Caenorhabditis elegans: one gene and its partner. The protein of the gene in region 2 interacts with the protein of the main gene of each other region in a pairwise test. Each region holds a gene or a part of one and is shown on either strand. Other genes may lie near its edges. The genes, in order: osm-3 and ift-81.

Region 1 (7,789 bases), on a different chromosome or scaffold from region 2:
GGCATTAGGACTAGAACTATACCGGCTGATAAGCCGCAGTAATCAAACTATAGGTCCACACAACATCCTTTTTTTCAGCACTATGTTTCTCCTGCTCTTTTGCTCAATATGGCCTCTATGGTAGCGGATATAATGGCTATGGAGGGTACGGTAGCGGCTATGGAACTGGGTACGGAATGGGCTATGGAATGGGCTATCCAATGAATCCGTATATGAATCAGGTTTATGGGTGAGATTTTTTAAAGTTTAACTTTGAGCGAGTATATCTCTGCGTGGGTTGGAACTACAGAAAAGTTGTCAGTTGTCAACTGAAAATTGGCAGCCCTTGAATTTTTTTTGTTAGTTGACAACTTTTTTCTAGTTCTCACTGTTGCGGAGCTATAACAGTTTCCCGTCACGCGCGGTACATGAGCGAGAGAGACTCAAAAAGACGCAGAAAGGTCAGGCGCTCTAGCTTCTCTCTCATCTCTCCCTTCCTTTCTCTTCCACACTTCTCGCATATCTCATCTGTTCGTTTAGAACCGACGCGACAGAAATTACCCAACCCAACCCAAATCCTCCAACTGAAAACCAACGCGACTGCCGCGGCCTGCCTTCCATGAGATCACGGAGTCTTTGCAGGTATGGTAGCAATCCGATGATGTCCGGTGGCGGCGGGATGTATGGAGCTGGCGGATGCATGGATCTGAGCCCTCAATGCTCCGTTTGGGCGAGCACAGGTAGACCGAAGCATAAAGTTCTAGCAGAAATTTTGTAGTTTTTTTCAGGCCAATGCTCTACAAATCCAATGATGATGCGGCAGACGTGTGCAATGTCCTGTGGAACTTGTAAGTAGTCGTTCAGGGCGTGCGCTACTATTAGAGTTTTGTTTCAGGCAGCACAGGTGTTGGAGCTCTCGGGTCCATGGGGTCCTACAACCCATTTGGAGGGTACGGAGGGATGGGATACCCCCAAGCCGGTTTGTTAGACCCCCTTGCTCAATTCATCGGGAGATCGATTTACGAAACTGGTGAGGCTTAGAGCGCACTTGCAACCTTAAAATTTTCTTCAGGGATCCTCCGACAACCAACTCCATCGAGTAGTTCCAAGAGCATTGGTATACTGACGAAAGCGAAAAGTGAGCAGTTGCCGAGCCGGTGATCAACTGGATTAGAATCTATTTATGCTACCTGTATAAAATTGATAAAGATCTCACATTCATTAATTTTATTCTCGATATCACCCGTGCAAACTATTCAGCAAATTTCTAAACATCACAATGTACACACGAATTATTTGGGATTCAGAGAGGCTAGTCGAGGTGGTCGTTTTGCAGATTGAGCCCGCTCGTAGAGAGCATCAGTGTAGACGACTCCGTTGACAAGACCATCGAATGTTGGGGTCTTGGATGGAAATAGCGATTTGGAAGTTGATACTGAAACTTTTTGACTTTTTGCAAGGTCTAAGGGGTCTAACTCACATTTTTGATCACTCTTGTACTTGTTGATCACATTGATCTGCTTCACTGGCTTGAAGTAGCTGTTTGCCAGGTTTTCCGAGTCACTTTTCGCTAGCCGCTCGCGTAGTTTGTCGTCAAAGTTAGACCGTAATAAGGTGTTCTCTTGCCGAGCAGGTTCTTGCATATAACCTGAAAGATGGAAGAATAAAGCAATCCCAAATTGCTAGAATAATCGGCCGCTTTTTGGCAATCCCGCCTTACATGTTTCTTGGAAAAGCTCAGGCTTAGCAGTGAGGCCTGCAATCTAATCAAATCCAGACCTACCATTATTAGCCAACGGCAGAATAGTCCGACTCATCGACATTTCCGGCAAAATCCATCGACTCTCGTCTTCATTCCACACCGCCTCCTTCTTTATCCGATCCACGTTACTATAATTCGTATCTTTCTTGATGATCGGCTGGATTTTGTCCATAATCTGCATAAGGAGCTTCAACTGCTGGTCCTGCTTCCGAATTGTGTCTAGATAATCGAGACGATCCAGTTCGAATTCGCCGTGGAGATCCTCGATTTCTCGCTCGTAACCTTTGGACTGAAACATTCCACTATTCACTTTGTAAAACTGGAGGGACTTACTTTCTTGACTTCCTTCTCCAGTTGAGAAGTAACTGCGTCAAGTTTTTCTTGAGTAGTACTGTAGACTTGAAGCAGAGGATCATCCTTATGAACGTTTAACGCGGCTGAAACTTACTGCGTGCAAGACTTGCTGAAGTTCTAGAAGTTCTTACCTGCCAACTTCTGCGTTTTAGTCTCTGCCTCCTTCAGCTGCTTCATCCGTTTTTGCTTCAGCTGAGTATTGCCTGCTTCTTCTCCTCCAATAAACTGATCTTGGAGCTGTTGGATCTTCTTCGCCGCTTCTTCCGGATTCAAGTTGTCTAAATTCGCATTAGCCCTTTCATAGTCTGCTCTCAAGGACTCCAGGTCCTTCTGTAGCTCCGCTTTACTCGTCTGCTCCCGCTCATACTCGCCACGCAAGTCGTTCATCGCCTCCTCGAATTCTTCCCGTAGCTTCTTCCTCTCCTCTTCTATCGAGAAAGCGTCCTGCGCAGGAGCGCCAACTCCAACGGCCCCCGGTTGAACCATAGACTTGAGCCGAGCGATTTCCTCCTGGTACTCTCGAAGAAGAGCATCCTTTGGATCCTCGTTGATCGTCGGCTTGTTCTTGATGTTCTTGGCACGGTTGGCATATCGAAGTGTGGAGAGAGTCTCGTCGTAGTTGTCACTGGATGGGGACACGCAGGCGATCATAATGGTCTTTGTGTTACCACCAAGAGAATCCTGGAAAATTTGAGTTGGATAAGCGTCCTAGGTCGCAGGATCGACAGTGGCTTGGATCGTTGGGTTCTAGCTTAGGCCTTCTCCCTACGTCACCTACAGCCTAGGCTAGCACTTCCATTAATTGTGGTCCACAAATACCTTATGACTATGGTCTGGATCCCTACCGTCACTTATCATATTAGCATACATTTCCTACCGCGCTAGACTTCAGGACCTAGGCTCAAATGGCCCGGCCCAACAACCACCTCATCATCTCAAAAATGAATCGTCCTTACCTGTAACAACCTAGTCAGCTTACTGTCCCTGTAGGGTATATGCTTCGACTTTCCGTCCACCAACGCCGATATCACATTACCCAACGCCGACAGCGATAGGTTAATCTTCGTGGCCTCCTTCAAACGGTCACCGGTGGCTCCTGTCTTGCTCTGCCGCTCACTTCCAGCCAAATCGACCAGATTCAACTTTCCCATCCTGATCGATCCGGTTTCTGTCATGCCTTCCACGTATACCGTGAAGATTGAGTGACTTCGGGAAGAGTCCTGAACATAGAAATTGAGGTCAGGTCAAAGAGTCAGGTCAAGGGCCACCTTGTTCATCAACGTGGCGCCGACGTGCCGATTGTTGAAGCCCCGAGTCATCAGCTCCTTGCAAGCCGGGACATCATGACAAACATGCATGGAGAGGCCCGCCACATAGACACCCCGATCCGGTTGCTCTTTGATCTCCAGTTTTTGTTTATTGTCGGCGCCCAGCAAGTCTCTAACCTCTTCGTTGTAAATCTAAAGCAAAATTTAAGGGAAGGGATCAAAAATCTGAAACCTCTAAATAGCTGCAGTGCACCAGGAATTTCACATTTTCCGTCGTAGCCGTGGCGGTGAATATGTGATCAAAAGCCCGTGGAATCACACCCCGTTGAGCTGGAATTGTTTCGATGCCCTGCATGGAGAAAGTCTTGCCCGATCCAGTTTGGCCATAGGCAAACACAGTGCCATTGTAGCCTTCTATCACGTTCTGTACGGTTTTTAGAAGCTTTGGTAGGAGAAATCTTCAAATTTTCTCACCTCAACTAGCGGAAAGACAATATCATTGTAAATCTGCTCGCCGGTCGAATCCATAAAGTAGGCTCCATCGAACGTGAAGTCCTTGGCCGCCCCGTCCGGCGCGTTCAGGTTGACCTGTCCAACGTTCGGAGTCATTCCGACGCATAGCTGGAAATTTTGAAACATTTTAGGGTTCCTAGAAGAAAATTGTCAATTTCTAGCGCTTTTCAGTCTCTAGTGCCCTAGAAGAAGACCCCTAGTCCCCCAGAAAACTTTGTAGAGTTTCCTACAATTCCCACGGTTTCGCACCAGAGTTCTCACGCCTACGAAGTGAATATTTGCCTATTTTCGTAATAAAAATAAACGGATATTACCTAAGCATGTATCGGATATTATAGTCTAGAGGGAAACAGTAACCCAAAAACATTAAAACATGTTTTCCCGGAAATTACGGGGGTAAATCGTATAGTAGACAATAATAAGGAAGTAAACGGAACTACGTGACATCTTTTTTCATGGCCGAAAAATAGGAAAACTCGGCCACCATGTTTAAACCAAAAATAAATATTCAAGTTTTATTACGTTTTTTCATTCACATGTGTCCAGTGAAGCAGGTGATGTGGGGAGGGGGAAACATGCGCTTTTTCACAAGTTTTCCGAATACCTTTTTACTTTTTAGTCAGCAATTATGTACGGCTTCTTCAAAGAAAACATTGTTTATGACGTTCAAATTTATTAAAGATATCATTCGAACTTTTCCTAGCTCCAGCTAACTCTTTTAAAACAGCAGGAAAAAAGCCTCAAAACTACAATAACTAGCTCTCAATCGCTGTGAGACCCTCGGCCTGTAAAATTTAAATTCTGACATCGAAAGGTTATTATCAATTTTTTCTAGATTTTAGGTTAATTTTGCCGACAAAGTACACAATTTCTATTAAAAATCAGGAAAATCGAACAAAAAAATGATCGAAAAATACAGAAAATTGAGCAAAAATTCATTTTTTTTGTAAACTGTGCGCCTTTAAAGAGTAGTGTAATTTTTATCGACTTTGTGAATTTTTATCGAATTTGTGAAATTTATGTAGCAGTTTTTCAATAAATAAATGTATTTTTTTGAAAATTCCAAAAAAAAACGAGAGTTCAAAATTACAGTATTCTTTAAAGGCGCACGCCCGTTTGTATTTTACAAAAAATGTCGTTTCAAGACCTGGCACTGTAATAGGAAAACACTGAAAAGTAATAATATACTCAAAATTTAGAATTTTCCCAATTTCGAATGATTTTGGCTAATTAAAAAGAAGAACTTCGCCGAAAATTCCACATTTTCTCAATTTTTTCGGGTTTTTCTGGGAAATTTTAATTTTTTTGCGCTTTAAATATTCGATTTAGGCCTAAATTGTTTGATTTTCAGCTGGTTTTTCTGAAAATCCAATCAAAAAACCAACCGTCGTATTCAGGTCCTTTTCTCTCTGATTGAACGGACGACATCTTACGGCGACCCGGACGCTCTCTGCCATACAGTTGGTGGGAGCTTAAATATTGAAAAATGTTCCGAAAAAAAATTCCGAAAAAAATTTTTTTTTTCACATAAATCGACGTAATAAAACATGTGAAGAGCTCAAAGGTTGAAAATTTTCGGAAAAAAAAATTTCAAAAAAAAAACGACGTAGTAAAAAATAAAACGAAAAGAGTTTGGTGTCGCGCGGAGCAACGAGCATATACACCACTGCTGCTCCGAGAGCAAAGGAATGAGTGGAGGGAGGTGGCGCCTAGCAACCAGATATTGTTATGCTTCTTCTTTTTCTTTCGAGCCACGCTGCCGCTAGGGTTGAGGGAATTGAATTATATACGATTGTTTCAATAAAAGCTGCCGTCGATTTTGATATTTCCGCATTGCTGATTGGTTTTTGGCTGAAAAATGACTGGAATTTGAAAGTCATATAAATTCAAACGGAAATTAGTTTTGGAAATATTGAAATGGCGGGAATGTACAAGAAATGGGCGTATAAAGCACAATAGAGACAAGTAAAGCTAGAAAATACATACAAGAATCGGTTAAAGTTTTGGTTAAAAATATCGGGAAAATCGAAGTTTTTGGGTTTTTTTGTGTAGAAAAAATTGACCAGAAATTTCGGATTTTCAGGCAAATTTAATTTTTTACAAAAAATTTTTAAGAAAATTGAATTTTAGCCGGATTTTAAGCTTTTTTCGTGAAAATTTCAAAAAATCTAGATTTTCAGCCAAAATTAACGAATTTTCCGATTTAGAAAAATCCAAATTTTTAATGACATTTTTATTACTTCTTTTTCGAAAAAAAAGTACCGTATATTCTCTATTAGTGCGGCACCCCACCACTCAACTTTGACAGCTCATATCTCGGTCACCTTTGATTTTGGTAAAAAGTCTTTAACTACGGAAATGTTTGTTAAAACTCCTTCTATGCTTAATGTTTTAAAAGGTCTTAATATCTTCAAAATCAATCAAGACATATGACGTCAAAGGTGAGCGATGGGGGTGCCGCACTAATAGAGAATATACGGTAGTTTTACGAATTTTTTTGAAAAATTCAAATTTCTTGAAATTTTTTCAGATTTTCCACTAAAAAATCATTTTCAGATTTTTTAAAAAACATTTTCGATTTTTTACCGAATTTTGAAGCAAACCTCGATTTTCAATGATTTTTTAGAGGAAATCCGTAAAAAAACGTGAATTTTTGGAAAAAAATCTGAAAAAAAATCGATAAAAAATTGTAAAATTTAATCTGCAAAAAAATTAATTAAAAAAAAATCTAACTTTTGCTGAATTTTTAAAAAGGTGAAATTCATTTTGTTTTGAAAAAAAAACGAATTTTCCAAAATTTGCAAAAATCACAAAAATCATTTTTTCCAAATTTCCATCTTTCTGTGTTTTTTTAATTAAAAGGTTTTTTCTCTAGAAAATTGAAAAGTTTTCTTCAAAACACTAAAAATTTTGGAAAATATAGTTTTTTTTTCAAAATTTCAAAATTTTTCCGACATTTAAAAACAAAATCCCCCCTAAAATTGACACATAAATTAATATTTTTATTGAGATTTTTTCTCCGAGCCATCCAACGTGAATTTGTGCTCCAAATCCTGAATATACGTGGCTCTTGGATACGATTTCTTGAGCCCCGGCCAATGCACAATCAGGCAGTCGACCATTCCGAGATAATACAAAATTGCACCGGATAAGGAGAGCTTTTTCACTCGGCAAATCGATTCTTCGTAGATAATAACTGTATCGATTAGGCGAATTATGTCGAAGAAGGCGGCCGCCAAGGCGACTGGGATACAGGTTCCAGGCCCGTTGAGCACGATTAGATCCGGACTGAAAATTGGCGATTTTGAGTGGAAAATTGAGTTTTTAGAGTGAAAATTGATGGAAAAATGTCGAATTTTCAGTTAGGACAGCTAAAATTGGCTAAAAATTGATTTATTTTGACTGAAAATGGTCATTTTTTGAGCCAAAAAGCAATAAAAATGTGATTTTCAGTGTTAAAATTAGCTTAGAATGTCTAATTTTATAATAAAATTCTCAGAAATGTGATTTTCAGAGTCAAAATTATTGATTTTAACTGAAAGTGACCAATTTCCAGTTCAAAAATGCGACTTTCATAATTGAAATTAGCTTAAAAATCTAATTCTCATATTAAAAATCTCGAATAGAATGAAAATTGATAGGTTTTTAATGAAATCATTGCATTTTTGACGCGTTAAAACGCGTTAAAAACGGCATTTTTAGTGCTACAAATGACAGTTTCTCCAGAAAACGCCCAATTTTCAGATCAAGAAGCTCAAAAACTATCTGAAAACCAGAAATTTTAAGTGAAAATTACCCCAATTTTAGGGTTTTAAAGAGATTTTTAGCGCAAAATTATCGAGAAATGCAAGTTTTCGGGTTTTAAACTAGAAATTCATCGATTTCTAACCGAATTCTGTAGATAAGCTTCACG
Region 2 (6,299 bases):
TTTTTAACATCAATGTAGTTTTTATTCCCGCTAATTTTTGTTTACAAAAAATTTGAATTTCCTATCAAAATTTTTTTCAGAAAAACTTTATTGCCAAGTTTGTTTTCCTAGAAAATTTGAAAATCCCACAGAAAAAAATTCCCGAGAAAATTTTAATTTCCGCGAAAAAATTTTTCGGAATACTTAAATTTTTCGCCAAATTTTTTTCCCAGAAAATTTGAAGTTCCCGCTAAAACTTTTAATTTTCGCTAACAACTTGCTTTCGAAATTTTGTATTTCGGGCAACGTATCTGTGTAGTAGCCGTGCTCCAATAGCATTAATTCCTTTTTTAATGGTAATTTAATTAAAACGTGAGGTCAGTGTTGCATATATACTGTCGGCTGCACATTTATCATAAAATTCCCCAAAGTTAAATCTGCAGAGATCTTTAAGCCTGGTATCTTTAAGCTTACCTCAGAATTCATTCTACTGACATCCTCTTCCCGCACTGAATTGGACCTTGCCATGGCTGTCAGCTCTTTCAACTTGTTTTCCTTTGATTCAATTTCTTGAAACAACTTGCCATTCACTAAGTAAGTGTTCGTCGCAACTTCGTCCTAAGAAACCCTCTGTCGTCATTAGATAGGAGAAGACGAGAAAAATAAGTCTAGTAACCTCTAATTTTTCCATTAACGCCTGTTCATCCAATGTGTCAGCGACCGCTTGAGCCTCCGTCAAATTGATTTTCATTCGGTTGATTCTGGCTTCGATGTTCAGGACCTAAACAGAAAAGAATTTCTGATTTTTGATGCTCGCTGCGCCAAAAAAACGCAGTAAGAAGGAAGAAGCCGCACACTCGAGAACAAAAAAATTGCACTCGCTATTTCTGTACTTCTTCTTTCATTTTTTGTCAGGAGAGCAAAAAAAAATTACGTCGGAGATAAAGAAAAAGGAAAATATTTCACTCGGTCTATTTTTGATTTTGAGATAAAAAAATGGAATTCCCAAAGAACCAACCTTCTGCCGTTCTTGTTGTTTTTCAATTGCAAAATCTGCATATCGGGTTTTCTCTCCGCGTAATTGTAATGCAAGTTGCATTTGTCTGAAAACGATTGGCTATTTTGAAAAATGCCAAAATTTATGTTTTATTTTTATACTAAATTCATTTTATTTTATTTTTTATTTTTATAATTTACGCTAAAGAACTCCCTTACTTACGTTTATATGAAAAACGGACAATTTTCCGCAAATTTCTATCTGCACTTGCATAGCGCTCGTTATTTAGCAAAAAGCTTGTAAATTTATTGTTTTCTACTTAATTATGATTGAAGCAGACTTTATCGTACTTGTAGTAAAAATATGAGCCTTATATTCAATTTTTTTGACAATGAGTCAAACCAGAGCTTAAAAGCAATACCGATACAGGCCAAAAGCTTTGCTCAAAAATTGCTTTAAAAATATATTAGCAATGTAAATGTGTTAGAAACTAACAAGAATGATCGGAAATATCCATCTTATCAGCTTATAAAGTTTACAGCTCTAAAGTTTCAAGTGAGCTGTTTTTTTACCTTCAATGTTTTGAAATATGTAAAATCAGGCAAAATACAAATTTCAAAAAAAAATCAAAAAAAATAAAGAAAAAAATCTGAGCTCATTTGCCGGGCTTTTTCAGTTTTTCTGAGGTTTTCTAACACGATGAATTCAGATAGCAAATTCACTTGTCAGTGAAAACTTTTATTAGTTTTCTATTGTTAAACGAATTTTCCTTTTTTTCGCATAAAACAAGTAATTAATTAAATTTTGACTACATTTTCCTGTTATTTTTGAACAATTTTTTTTTGAAGTTTTCACATTATTTGAACTTACTTATCAAAATATGGTATATTCTGCACTTTCTTCTCGGTCTTCTCAATCTTTCGGAGCAAAATTTGTTTTTCTTTTTCCATTGACTTTAAATCCTCTTTTATGTCATCAAGCAAGAGTACGTCTGCCATTATTCCTTTCATTTCAGCATGGATTTCCTGTAGAAAAGTTGTTTTGTTTTTTTTTGTTTTTGCTTTTTTTTTGCTCATCCACTATCGTGACGACTAATCTCTCATGTGATTAACCTTAAACTCCATTGTCAACTCTCCAATCTCATTTTGCAGCTCTTCAATATCATAATCGAAGAATTCTCCAGGTACATCTGTCTGAAAATAATTAATTTACGTATTTCCAATTACAAAAAAGTGCGAAGCTGTTTAGCCATTTCTTGATTCATTAATTCAATGTGTACCTAGATCAGAGACTAACTAAACCAAAAACTTCGGCTGTCTTGCCTACTATATCAGCTATTCAAGCAGAACGATGCTTGTTCTCTATGTATCATTTTTCTTTTAAAAAAAATAATGACAACATCTATTTCTCTCCCCCCAGAAACCACTAGCATAACATGTCGGCTTTTGGCATAGCAATTCATTACCTTCATCAAATATTTTGACAAATATGCGCGCTCTTTCAAACCTTCTGAGTTTTCAAAAAGAAAAACCAGAAGAGGATAGAGGCTAGTCTTGCGACCTTCGACAATCCCTGCACGCCATTCTTCCCTGTAATATAATGTCAAATTAGATGCTGTTTAGTGATTGCCCTCGTTTTGCACGAACTGTTCATCCTGGTCTTGCGGTGGTCTGTAGCGGAGAATTCGGAGCATATTCAGAATACGAATTGCAGTCTCTTCAGCAGCCTCTCTTTTGATATCAATTCGGTCCGTGTCGGAAACCCAGCTGAACATTTTAAAAATTTTCGTTGTTCTTATATTATTAAATTCAATTTTATCAGTGAGAGCATTTATGTGTTTGTAAAAAATTTATTCAAATTTTTCTTAATTTTTTTATGACTTTTGAAATTTTGCAAACAAATAAGAAAGAACCGAATTTTTTGAACATTCTACCCAAGTGGACCTGCTGATACCCCTTTTCTTTATTGTTGTGTCAAATTTTTTTTAAATTTACACAGCAATCTATAAAATAATTACTTTCAATAGAAAGTTTAAGAAGATTGCTCAAAAACTGACATTAGTATCAGTTTGCCAACCAGCAAATTTAACACGCACATTGTAACTTTGTGCCTTTTTTTGAGCAACATCCAAAAGTACAATTAAAGGTAAAGCTATTTTTAGAAATTAAAAAAATTTATTTATATTTCTTTGAAAAATTCTTGAAAAAATAACGATACAATAATAATAAAGTAGCTGTTTTTTAATTGTCACAAAAAATGTAGCACACGTTTCTGGAAAATTTTTGTGAATATTTTAAACACCATAACTGTTTTTTCTCGATATCGCATTTTTTAAATTTCTTTTTTTGACTTAACCAACCTCAAAACATTACTCAAAATTTGGAGCAACTGCTGCGGTGGTAATTGGTCGAATTGAAGTGATGATAAGTTGAGATTGAACGGCTCTTCATTCAAAAAGTGGAGAATAAACCCTTGAATATCGTTCGACATCTTAAGGATACACCGTTAGTGATGACAATAAACGCGAGCTCGTCGAGCAGCGCTCCCGGTTACCAGGGCAACACGACGTAAATATATGTTGTTGCTGGGCTCTTTGCTATGTGAGTGTGAAATGTTTCAAGTAGTATTGAAAAGGGAACAGAAGTTGAACAAGTTGAATCAGTTTGTTGGTAATTAACTGTGGTTAGAGATTTGTTTTGAGTGAGTGGTAATTAAATGTGAACTTTTGATACTCTAAGGTAATAATTTATATTTTTCATATGAGAGTTTTTTTTTGAGTAATGTATCTTTTAAGACTATCAGTTTATATTCCTTTGTCATTTTAAATTAACAAATATTTTGCTCGAAACAATACTTCCTAGCCGTCTTTACACAAATGACGTCAACGCGCGGTTACTAGCTCATCTGTCGTGAGGAGTGAACGAGAGAGCTGCCGCAGACATAGCAAGGACGTTTCTTTCCATGTACTGAGAGCGGCCGTGCAACGAACAAACAGAGGAGTTTGTTGGTCCGTACTCGTTCGAATAAATCATTCAAATACCTTTTTTTCTACATTGACCACCCTTTCTGTTCTGAAAGACCACATTTCGATTCTTCTTTCTCAATCTTAATCGCTTGTGTTTCTCTCCTTTTTTCTAGTATTGTGCAGATTTCTGAAATCTTTGTCATCGAAGAATATCAATCGATTTTTTTTTTGCAGCGGGGAAAGGTGCGATGCAGGACCGTTCCTGCTACAAGCTCACACAGGAAGGGGAACGTCTTTTTCGCATGCAAAAGTATGAGAAAGGTAACTTCTTTTTTATTATTATTTGTAAATAATTGATTGAATTTGAATATTTCAGGCATCGACTTGTTGAAAAAAGCGTTGGAAGTAGGCACAGATGATTTTTCATTACTCTCGGCTATCTATTGTCAGCTCGGAAATGCACACACAATGCTTAAAGATTATGAGCAAGCTCTCAAGTTCCATACGTATGACATTCTTGTTGAAAGGTAACGAATGCGAAAGAAATTTAAACAAAAAATAAACAAAATTTCAGATTGCTTGGAAACAAGGAGGGAGAAGCAAAGTCGTGTGCCAACTTGGGAAATATATTCAAGATGAAAGGCGCTTACAACGACGCGCTCACCTTCACATTCAAACAGCTGGATTTTGCCGAAGAGTTGGGCGATAGAGTGAGTAGAACTTGATTTTGTACTTGAAAAAAAAATGCACCCGTTGCTATACCAACAGGAGATTTATTATTTTCGTGCTAGCAAACATGTACAAAGTTCCATCTTAAATTTTCTTCGAAGTTTCCAACATAAACCATAGTTACAAGGAAAGTATTTCAGCCTACAATGAGACTTCTGAATGAAATCTATGTCATTTGAAAGGGGACCTGCAAACTAGGTTACCACAAAAAATTTAGCGGCAGAAGAGCACGTTGAACTACCATAAAAACCATCTGAAAAGGATCAATATTTAATAGAGCTGTGAAATTGCATCCAATGTTGATTTTTGCGAACTTCTAGTGGTTTTCGGAAAGTTTACAGGTATGCAAACATTCTGGAAGCTTGAAACATTTCTCGATCGAGTTGGGTGAAAAAGTTTCAGATGTTTTCAAATAAAAATGTATATTCCAAAAGATTCCAGAATGCTTGCCTAGAAACTTGTTAGAAGCAGCTGTGAATATTGCTATGAAATATTTCAGCTTTTCAAAATAAGGCACAACGCAATTATTCAAGAATGAAACTCCTAATTGCATTCAGATAATTTACACTTTCCATTTAAAAAATTCAGGTTCTCAAATCTCGAGCTTATTACAACATTGCGACGATTTATGTGGAGCGAGGGCGATGCACAAAACTGGAAGCTGCTGAAGAGAAAAATGACGCCAAAAATGCAGAAGCCACTTCGGATTTTGAGAATGCTGCCAAGTACTTTATGTGAGTTCATTACTTCAATCTTCCTAATAAAGATTTTAAAATTTGCAGGCTAAATCTGGAGATGTCGGAAAAATCGGAAGATGCGCTGACGATGGGGCGATGCTACGGCAGCTTAGGAAATACTTATTATTGCCTTGGAGACTATGACCAATCTATCCACTTTCATAAACTTGTGAGTTTTTATTGAAAATACGTAAGAACCCTTTTTCGGAACGGATGTGATGATGCAATGTCGCGTGGTTTGTGGTTCAAACCGGAAATCTAGTTTTTTTTTTGCCTTCAACGCGTAGATCAAAAGTTTATGAGGATATTTTTATTTCTATTTTACCTTTTAAGGCCAATCTCGTTTTCCAAGTTTCAAGCTTAGGAGTTTTTTACTTTCACCACGTGATTATCGAGTTTCCGAAACCTAATGCTCATTTCCGATCACATTACAGACAGAAAACGCTGTTTGTTTTTGTCAGGTGAATAGGAAAGCTAGACGTCCAATTTTCTCAAAAAAAATTTTCTCCATTTTTCAACCAAACAACAAAGTTCAAATTTCAGTTGCTACGGGCGTGTGACCTTGAATTTGTAAATCATTCAGTTATACTCTGAACTTCCCGGTCCCTGTTTTTTTCTAAAGAAAAACATGAAGCCAATCAGGACTGCGAAAATGTTGTTTTTTATTCGAATAATGAAATTTGAGGAACACAGAAACCTAAGAAAAAAGAACTGGACATATATCATAGAACGTTGGGTTTTGAGCATTCACTTCCTTTTACTTCTTGCCAGATTGAATTTTTAATTTGAGAAACTTTTGACAAACCTCTTGTCTTTCTTTTCATTTTTTGTTTCTCTACTTTGAAATAAGTCCAAGCAGGTCTTGAGACTCACGTCAGAAAAGTCAAAGACG

Evidence for each region.
Region 1: the proteins of ift-81 (region 2) and osm-3 interact in a two-hybrid assay, tested with the Caenorhabditis elegans proteins (one study listed by BioGRID).

What each region holds. Positions count from the first base shown.
Region 1 is NC_003282.8:3,795,115-3,802,903, forward strand, and holds osm-3 (Osmotic avoidance abnormal protein 3), read right to left. Parts: upstream 5,334-7,789; coding exon 5,262-5,333; intron 3,985-5,261; coding exon 3,838-3,984; intron 3,788-3,837; coding exon 3,596-3,787; intron 3,556-3,595; coding exon 3,364-3,555; intron 3,316-3,363; coding exon 3,052-3,315; intron 2,777-3,051; coding exon 2,227-2,776; intron 2,179-2,226; coding exon 2,075-2,178; intron 2,031-2,074; coding exon 1,763-2,030; intron 1,628-1,762; coding exon 1,460-1,627; intron 1,415-1,459; coding exon 1,272-1,414; downstream 1-1,271. Other genes in the region: K09B3.1 (ShKT domain-containing protein), read left to right, coding at 79-229, 520-719, 768-827, 875-1,009, 1,052-1,140; algn-14 (UDP-N-acetylglucosamine transferase subunit ALG14), read right to left, coding at 6,879-7,164, 7,766-7,789. UniProt on the Caenorhabditis elegans protein: Kinesin motor protein which is required for the anterograde intraflagellar transport (IFT) along the middle segment of the sensory neuron cilia together with the kinesin II motor complex (composed of klp-11, klp-20 and kap-1) and on its own, is required for IFT along the distal segment.
Region 2 is NC_003284.9:5,295,917-5,302,215, reverse strand, and holds the start of ift-81 (Intraflagellar transport protein 81 homolog), read right to left. Parts: upstream 3,656-6,299; 5' UTR 3,585-3,655; intron 3,552-3,584; 5' UTR 3,521-3,551; intron 3,490-3,520; 5' UTR 3,467-3,489; coding exon 3,336-3,466; intron 2,743-3,335; coding exon 2,623-2,742; intron 2,566-2,622; coding exon 2,442-2,565; intron 2,170-2,441; coding exon 2,089-2,169; intron 2,002-2,088; coding exon 1,847-2,001; intron 1,083-1,846; coding exon 998-1,082; intron 761-997; coding exon 656-760; intron 598-655; coding exon 454-597; intron 447-453; exon of another isoform or gene 426-446; intron 1-425. Other genes in the region: ags-3 (Tetratricopeptide repeat protein 28), read left to right, coding at 4,190-4,262, 4,318-4,468, 4,516-4,651, 5,259-5,404, 5,453-5,576.